2 linked regions of the Caenorhabditis elegans genome follow. The protein of the gene in region 2 interacts with the protein of the main gene of each other region in a pairwise test. Each region holds a gene or a part of one and is shown on either strand. Other genes may lie near its edges.

Region 1 (4,112 bases), on a different chromosome or scaffold from region 2:
AAATAAGTTCACGTCCCACTACTAATTGTACAGTAATCATATTTATTAATTTATAATGTTGTTGAAACATTCCATTAAATTTTTCGAACAAAACTTTTTTTCACTTTGTTTGAAGGCAGTAAAACTTTGAAGCAGTAATTTTTAAAATCTCAAGGGTAACATACTTATGGGCTAACTTTTCAGTTTTGTTTTTACAAAAAATTATCCATTTGCCCTTCTAATATAATATATTTCAGGACAGCCAAGGAGCTTCAAGTATTAATGCAATGCACCTTCCAATGGGTACACGTCCACAGAATGTACCCCATACATTGAATGTAAATACTGATGACTGGTAAGTTTTCACATAAAATTTTACACACTTCTAAAGCACGTTGCTTCACTTCTGATATACTTACCGTACTTCTATTGTAACTCTATTGTGTGCCATTTATTCACAGGTCTCAATCATCGGATTTCCGTCCAGCCTATGCAAAGGAACCATCACCACTGCAGGGTACAGTAATCCGTGGCGATGGACGGAGCCATAGAAACCACGTGTATTCGCGGGAAACTCAGGTATAATTGTGCTCCATCCGGTTCTGCCGCTTTTTATCCAAATCTGGCGTTTGTAAATAATTTTCATAATGAATTCTTATTTGTTTCAATTTGCTCAAATTATCTAATTTTGTGTGTACTTGTGTTTGTGTGTTACTTATTTATTATAGTTAGAACTTAATTTTTTTCTTTTTAAATATTAATTTTTATGCATTTTGAGATTACAACTATTCAACATACAGTACTCCTATGGAATACTGTAATTTATTCACTTTTGACCTACTTTTTGATCTCGTGCAGTGCAGTGTGTGCTTTCATTTGAACCCTTTGTGCTTTGACCCTTTTTCTGTTAGTTTTCAACTTTAATTCATTTTTTTTGCAATAAATTTACTTTTGATACATTTTTTCTAAATATAATATTTTATTTTTCCAACAGGTCGAAGAACAACCAGACGTAATCACTCGCCTTTAAAATTCATTTTTTGCATTTATTTTCCGATTTTCTTTCAAACATTCTTCCCCGTCTTGTAGGCACCGGTTTTAGGCTCTCAATTGGGTTTTGTTTGCTCTTTTTCTTCAATTTGCTGTAATTATATAATTGGTGATCGCTGATAATGTGATTGATATCAAAATGGGTAATTTATGATGTATTCCAATCGTGTAATTTTTGAAATATTCAATAAATAATTGTTCATATTCTTGTTGTTGATTAATATATCAGTGTCTATAAAAATTTAATTAAACAAGCAGTGGCAGAAAAAAATTTCAAAAAAAAATGCAGTTTCAAGACATTATTATTACTTTTTTTTAACAAAGGTAACACAAAGTAACAGTTTTTAAAAAATTCTATAGTTTCTCGAAATTGGTGAAAAAGTTTGGATTTCACAATTTAATTTGCTTCGTTGGTAAGTAATTTTCAAACTCACACGTTTCAACGATTTATTTATTTATTTATTTTAATACGATTCCATACGAATCGTGTCCCAAGAAAAAACATAAAACATAAATGATTGATTTTGAATCACGCGATTTTGCAGTTTTATGCCGAAAACATTCTCAATAAGTTCAGTTCTAAAAAAAAGTTAGAAAATCACGTTGAAAAAGATTTAATAATTCTGACCTTTGATATTTTATCTTCACGTTCGATCAATTGCTCTAATTTTTTATTCCCTCCCCCCCACCCCCTCTTATCATTGTTCTTCTCGATTCTAATTTATTTCACAACAATCGATAATTCAAGTATCAAACAAATTCAATTCAAAGCATTTGATAGCTTGAAAAGATGCCACAAGAAATTCCACCTGCAGTCAAATATAAAATCTATCCGGAAGGTGCAGAGGGAATAGACACGGTTTGGGAGCGGCCCGGATTCAAGAAGGGAGAGGTGAGAGGGGTTTTTTGGAATTTGGAAGTTGGATTTGGAATCGAAACAGTGAGAAATTTGAATAATAATTTTTGAACTTTATTCAAGATTTTTTTAATAATTAATTTATTTTTCTTCATTGTGAACAATATTTCTTGAACTAAGTAATTGAGGCAGTCGGGGGTGTTCGAAAGAATATTTTATTATAGAATCAAACTTTCTTTTTTTTAATGGTTTAATGGTTTTTTTAATGGTACACTAGTAGTGAAACATAATTTTATTTTAAAAGTTATTTCTATTCTAGAAACACGTATTTCAGATAGAAGCTCGAGTCAAAGATGTGGTCATTCTGCGTGGAGAACCAGTTCCAAACAGCTACAAAATGCTTGTAGAGGCCACATTTGAGCTCCCAAAGAAGGATAAAATAACGGTAAGCGACATCATCAATGACTTTATGTAAAACGTTTTTGATTTCCAGCAACTCGGACTCGTCAATCGACATGGGTTGGTCACTCGTGTTCATTACGCGAGCCCATTCAAAGGAGCAATTCTACCGGGTGACATCATCTTGCAAGTGAACGGTACGACTGTCTCATTCGATGAGAAACAATTGACAGAGCATGTCGACGAGACCACCGGTGGAGCAAGTCTCCAGTCAAATGTGAAGACTGTTAAGAGGAAGCCAACGACTACACCGTAAGGACAAATGTTATGAAAACTTGAAAAATATTTACCTTATTAAGGAAAACTGAACCTGTGAGAGCACCACATTCACTTTATCCAGACTTCAAGGTTGTTGTCGGAAAGATTTTGAACTCAAAATCTGAGACAAAGATTACGGTTCTGGTCGCTAGATTGAAGAACAGAATGTCTACGTCTAAGATTCCAAATGGTAAGTTTGAATATTTGTTTCTTATTGTGAAACAGTAATTTTCATATAATTTCAGGTATCTTAGCCACACAGGATCACACCATCGATTTGGCCATTCTCTACCAATTCAAATACCTGCAGCTTGGTCTGAACGTGCAGCAGGTCGACAGAAAAGTGGTGGTCAACTACACTATTCCGGATTCAGTTTCACATTGTAGTTTGAATATTGGTGAAGCTATTATTGCTGTTGATGATAAACCAATCAACACTCTGGCAGATAATCGTCAACGATTTCGCGAAGGATTTGAGGCGAATGGATGGATTCGATTGTTGGTTGAGTATCCGAATACGGATCCAATCAAAAATATGGTTCGGGGACAGCTTGCAGTTGGTTATTTGCCTCACATTTTTTTTCTTCTATTTTAATTGCAGAATGTTATGAGAACTGCCGAACGACCGCAATACTTGCTTTGTGGAGATGTCCGTAAATACTTTGTAGAAGGAATTGAAGCTCTGAAAAATGGAAAAGCGTTGGCTCCCATTTTAAAAGAGGAAGAAGGGCCGGGAGAAGTTGGGAAGAAGAAGAGTGATGCGAAAGTTACCAAAAAGTATGTTTTTAAATAAATTAAGATAAAATCTTCAACTAATTCAGGGACCCGGCTGTTGGATTCAACAACACAACTGAAGAATTTTTTATTCCGGCGGAATGGAACTCGAAGCTTTTCGTTTGGCTCCCGCCGCTGAAGACCAAGGTGACCGAATCGGCATCTTCGAACATGCCGGTTAAAAAATGAACTTCATTCTTCTTTAATAAAACATTTGACTGATCTCGGGCGGGCTCGAACCACCGACCTTCTGTGTGTTAGACAGCACAGGTAAAGCGCTAAAAGCGAGACATTAACCAAATGTACGTGAAGGCCCGCTAAAAAGCCAATGATGGGTCGCACCTAAAAATTTTTTTTTTAATTATTGGAAAATCTAACATCGGTGATGGAACAATTTAACATTTTTTGGAAAATACTTTAGTTAAACATTAATTTCAGCTAGATTGTTTTATTCAATCATTTCAAATTTCCGAAAAATTTTTTTGAAAATCAGCTTTTATATATTTTTATCAATTAAAAAAAAACACCCGTACAAGCTATTATACTCTGTTCGGCATTTGCTGCTATTTTTGACTATGCTTAAGAGTTTTATGAAATAAAAAAGAATGACTCCATATGATTTTACAGGACTTTTGAATTTTTGAAAAAATCAGCTTTTATATATTTTTATCAATTTTTAAAAAAATACTTCCGTACAAGCTATTATACTTTGATTGACAGATTCTGGTGTTTTTGA
Region 2 (5,208 bases):
ATCCACGTGAACAATCGTTGGCACGAGCATACTACGAACAAATGCTGGAAATGCCAAATCGGGTACCGCTGTCAATGAGAGCCTACCACATGATGCGTGATCGAGATGTTCGTGTTCGATATCCAACTACAGAAGAACCGGTTCCAGTTGAGCCTGTAACATTTGGACAAACTACTAGAACTTTACCTATTTCACAGCAACCGACAACTTCTCGCAGTCATATGACGCTGAGATCTGCAATGAGACGTTTAGATTCCGATCGTCCGACAGACGAAGAGATTCCGCCGATTGAGAGTCGGCCCCAGACACGCCGCGAAATCGAAAGAGATCGACTTCTACAAAGAGTTCGGGAATTTGATAATCGATCACGAGGGCTTTCGGTGAGTATTATTGAGAATTTATAAAGAAGTGAATGTATTTAATTTAATAGTAAGTAAAACTTGAAGATTTTCTATATTTCAGAGTCTCTTCCGTCACCCTGCATCGTCGGATTATACAAGTCGACGATTCACTTCTGATGGTTATTCTGGATTGGTTGGTTTAAAAAATATATAAACATAAAATATCATCAAAATTGTTTCAGGTTATGCTCTCGCCACGGTTAAATTCAACCACTACATCATCTACGAGTATACCTGTTTATCAGCCGCGAACTATGACGAGTAATGATTTCGCGCATTTAAACCGAACCAGAAGCATTTTGGAGAGAAGACATTTCCCACAGCCACCACGGGAGCAAAGAATCGAAGAAGTGGAACAACTTTTCAACAGAGCTTACCAAAATATGCAGCAAACTCATCAAGCAATTCAAGAACATGCTAGCACAAGCAATGCACCGACACAAATTCCTCGTCCAGCAACTCCAGCACCCGCTATATCTGACGAAGAATCTCGATCACTTGCGGAAATTGTTGCAACCATAAATCAGGAGGATGCTGATAATGGACTTGACTTTATTTCGGTTGCTCATCGAACAAGATCCGCAAGAAGAGGTAAATTTCTAACTTTAAATTGTTTTTTACCGAAATTTGATTTTTCAGCAGCCGAAAACGGGCATCCACCCGAGGGACCACCAGCCAAAAGATCAACAAACTCTCGTCGTGATAGACGTTAATATCCAAGAAATACGCTCATTTAAAAAAATAATCTTGTTCGAGTTTCTTAAACATTATATCTGTATGGATAAATGTACACTCGCTTCTTAAACAACCCGTTTCCTTCACTGTTTAGTTGTACCTTGTGACATGTACATTCAAATGTTACTCAACCCCCGTTTTTTTTCATTCTATGTGTTCTGCTTTTTTCAAAAACTTTATTAAAATATTTAATGAAATGTTAAAATAATATTTTGAGCGAATCAGTTTGTGAAAACTGTTTTATAGACAGGTTTTTGGTATTTTCTGTGTGTTTTTTTATTATTTATGTTTTATTGAGAAAGATGTTTTGTTTGAGAGCAACGAATCTAATAATAACAAAACTTACTATAAGCTAGAAAATTCCAAAAGATGCACCCAACTATTTTTTTTTCCAATTTTTCATAATAATCTATTTGTGAGTGTTTTCTCTGTATCCGGTTTCTGTTCTTTCCATTTTTTAAGGGAAATTTCCTTATAAAAATTCAAATATCTCAAAACTATGCTTGTGCGCTCCAATGAGATCTATTTGATTGCTTCCATCTTTATCAACATTTTAGGCTTTTTTATTTTACTTCGACTACCTTCTTTCTTTGATATTAATTTTAATTTATTAATTTAATTTTTAAAAGAGAAACTGAAATTTCAAACCAGAATATGGGAAAAATTAGTTAGAGTTTTCAAACTTGAAAATTTTGCGCAAACTGAAAAATATTTGTGAGAAACTAAAAAATTTCCGATAGTTTATTTTTTAGAGGAATATTTCAAATCTCAAAAGAATTGAAAAGCTCAATGGATTCTCCGAGCACAAGTGAATCACCACTGAAAAAGAATACAATTCAGGATTTTGGAGAAAGTAACATGACAGAAAGTCCCCAGTCTAAAGAAGAAATCGACGAACCGGAAGAGGAGTGTTCGGTATGCAAAAATGAGTAAGTTCATTCAATAGTATTAATTAAAAATTGATTTATTTCAGAATTATCGATACAACCTCGTTGAGTGATTGTTGCCATGAATTTTGCTACGATTGCATTGTAGGCTGGCTCACGAAGGGATCCGGTCCTTTCTGTCCAATGTGCAAAACACCAGTTAGCTTCATCCAACGGAAAGGAACCGATGAGAAAATAACCGTCCAGCAAATAAAATCCGAAGGAGAGCCAGCAGCGACTGCTTCAGAAGATCTTGTGACTGAGAAGAGAATTGTGTCGAGAAAAATTCGAAGTTGTCGAAGGCTAATGAACCAAATTGACGAGATCATGTAAGAGTTTTCGATGAGTAATATACAAATTGTATTTGAACATTCTTTTAGTGGAGCAACATCAAGTAGATCTGATAGTCAAAAAAGGAAGCCACGATTAGAAGAGTTGAACTCGATGAAACAACTGTGTGTCTCACAATTGAACTCCCTGCAAATGCTCCGAGACGACATTGATCATGGAGCAGCAAAAGCATTAATTGTCTCAAAAGCCGCATTCCGAAGATTGATCTATGAGCGTCAAGTTATATCAGAAGGATTGCCAGATGCAACTAATTCTCTGTCGAAAACTGAATTCCGTGATAATATCGATCACTATCGAGCAGTTTTACACAGTTTCTTGAGCGTCGAGTTGAAATCCCTTCCGGCGAAGACGGTAACGTTTCCCATTAAAACATAAAAGTGTTCTAATGAAAAGTATTTCAGCAACCACGTGTCGACAATGAAAATAGCTGGTATTTTTATACACTTCATGATGTGGCCGAGGGAAAAGACGAAGAGATTATCAATAGAATATTCAGTATGATTGAAGATCGTGGAACGCGTGATCTTAATGCGGTAGTTCAAAAACAAATTTACCATAAGTTTGAAATGTTTCAGAGAGAAGTTGATGCAGCATTGAATGGGCTTGTATCATGTCGGGTTGTAATTGCATTTATTGCTGAGCTGAAGTCTTTGATTAACAGTCGAAAGTCATTTTTGGAGTGGTGCGGTGCCATAACATATCGAATCAGAACAGATCGCGGAGGTGAAAGTGCTGGAAATGGTAGAATCATATTTGTACTTAATTTCAAAAAATCGTATCTTCCAGATGTTGTGACGGTCGACGATTCAATTGAGCTTGAACCCGAAGAAAATAGATCAAACCACAGGTCGCGCCGATTCCCGGTTTTTACACCATTCGACCGAGTTTTTGGTATTTAATTTTTTATCATAATATGCTTTTAAAATATTATTTTAATTTAAAACTTCAAAATAAAATTTTCAGGATCTACCATGGGACACATGTATCGAGGACAACCGCAAGTGAGTTTGCCGCCCCTTTATGACCTGTTGAGTGTAAGTTTACATTGTAGCATTATCCTGCCTCATCATCTGACACCGACCAGGACGATGACATCTACTTTCAGGCTCCTCTTCGTCTTGGCCCTAATGCTACGAATCCGTTCAGGCCAGCTCCGCTCCCGGTGCCGTCACGTAAGATTTTTCAGATCGGCTCTTCAAAAAGTTAAATTTTTACAGAATTACCAATCGCTGGTATTCCATGGGCAGAATTAACGACATCTTCAGCAGGTGCTGGTTCTGCTCGAAGTCGTGGATCCGACAGTGTAGTAGAAATTGACGATGATGATGATAATGATGGTGTCGATGTGGATGATGATGACAGAGAAGACAGTGATGAGCCAAGAACGTATTCAAATAGTGAGGAAGATAGCGATGAAGAGATTCAAGTTGTTGAACGTGATGATACTATTATTCTTGATGATTCGAATCGATCACTTCCTAAACCTGTAGCAAATGGTAGTGCCGACAGGAAGAGAAAGTACGAATTTCCATTAGAAGATCATTGGAAAAAGGCCAAAACCAGCCAGTTACCTGAGGGGCTTGTTGACGATGTTCAGGAATTGATCGCGAAGTACAATATGCCGTTAACACAATCAATGAATATGCTTGTCGGCGCAGCACAAGAAGCCATTATCAGGATTAACAAACCAATGCCAAGCACTTCAAGGTGGGTTTGAAAAGATTTTATCGTGGATATGTAATATTCCAATTTCAGTGCTCCAGACATTTCGAAGTTCAAACCTGATGATATGTTACAGCTAGCAAGTTGTAAGTTTGTCATATTGCAGATCAAGTCTCATAACTAATTTTTACAGATCTCTCTCGAACTGGTGCACTTTCAAGGCGACAGTAAATCGACATTTGATCTCTGTTAAATCAATTAAAAAGGCGGATATCGACGAGTTTTCAAACTTTTTCCTAGGCATATCATAATTTTTTACAACTTTTTTACTTTTATTTTTTCTGACATTTCGATGTTTCGTAGTAGCAAGTTTCCAAATGTTCCATCCTGGGCTACAAGCGAACTTATTCGGCAATTTTTAGATTTTCGTTGTTTACGGTTCAAAGAAAAAAGCGTTTTTCATATTTTTATTGTTTCTCCATGTTAGCTATCATTTTTTATTTATTTATATTTATAGCTTTATTCTGATTATTGTACTTCTGTCCGTGTAAAACATTTCGTCACTATTGACTGTCTATAAATTTTTAACCTTTGGTTTATTGTTTGGTTATTTTTTTAATATTTTTTCTCGGTTTGCTTCCGGCAAATTTTTATCTTGTTCCTTTTTATATTTTTGCCTTTCTGATCGATTACATGGAGTGCACCCTAATGTCTTTAAGATCTTTTAATTGATTTGTTTTATATTGTCAGTTCTAGCGTTTTACCAGCTGGTCTTGAATGCCCTCTTCTAGTTCATTACATTCTACGTCACGGTGACAGCTGTGAATGTGGATGATGCTCTCATTGCTCCAACTCTTTATTTTAGAATTATGTCGCTAATGCACTTTCCACCTACATATTATTGTATGGATATAGTAGTTATATATCGTTTATTTCGTTTAGTTTTAGCATATTATGTTCCTTTAATAGCAAAACATACTCAATACCAACTGTTGTCTAGTTGTTATTCTAACCTTTTATCACTTTTGATCATTTCTAACGTTTAAAATTTCCTATCAAAAGAATCTAAGAACAAACAATCTGTCGATCGGCACCTGAAACCCCGATGATTCTACACCATGCTGCTCTACTTC

What was found. Proteins that work in one complex are often made in the same cells at the same time.
Region 1: the proteins of C32D5.10 (region 2) and mpz-4 interact in a two-hybrid assay, tested with the Caenorhabditis elegans proteins (one large-scale study listed by BioGRID).

Annotation. Positions count from the first base shown.
Region 1 is NC_003282.8:4,824,973-4,829,084, reverse strand, and holds mpz-4 (PDZ domain-containing protein), read left to right. Parts: upstream 1-1,764; 5' UTR 1,765-1,819; coding exon 1,820-1,921; intron 1,922-2,219; coding exon 2,220-2,330; intron 2,331-2,378; coding exon 2,379-2,596; intron 2,597-2,643; coding exon 2,644-2,792; intron 2,793-2,847; coding exon 2,848-3,158; intron 3,159-3,203; coding exon 3,204-3,379; intron 3,380-3,423; coding exon 3,424-3,565; 3' UTR 3,566-3,597; downstream 3,598-4,112. Other genes in the region: tat-2 (Phospholipid-transporting ATPase), read left to right, coding at 237-334, 441-558, 974-1,009.
Region 2 is NC_003280.10:6,348,668-6,353,875, reverse strand, and holds C32D5.10 (putative RING finger protein C32D5.10), read left to right. Parts: upstream 1-1,888; 5' UTR 1,889-1,925; coding exon 1,926-2,065; intron 2,066-2,109; coding exon 2,110-2,391; intron 2,392-2,442; coding exon 2,443-2,764; intron 2,765-2,814; coding exon 2,815-2,946; intron 2,947-2,988; coding exon 2,989-3,154; intron 3,155-3,199; coding exon 3,200-3,304; intron 3,305-3,376; coding exon 3,377-3,414; intron 3,415-3,518; coding exon 3,519-3,585; intron 3,586-3,630; coding exon 3,631-4,120; intron 4,121-4,168; coding exon 4,169-4,221; intron 4,222-4,268; coding exon 4,269-4,306; 3' UTR 4,307-4,669; downstream 4,670-5,208. Other genes in the region: C32D5.11 (RING-type domain-containing protein), read left to right, coding at 1-380, 463-534, 584-992, 1,041-1,114.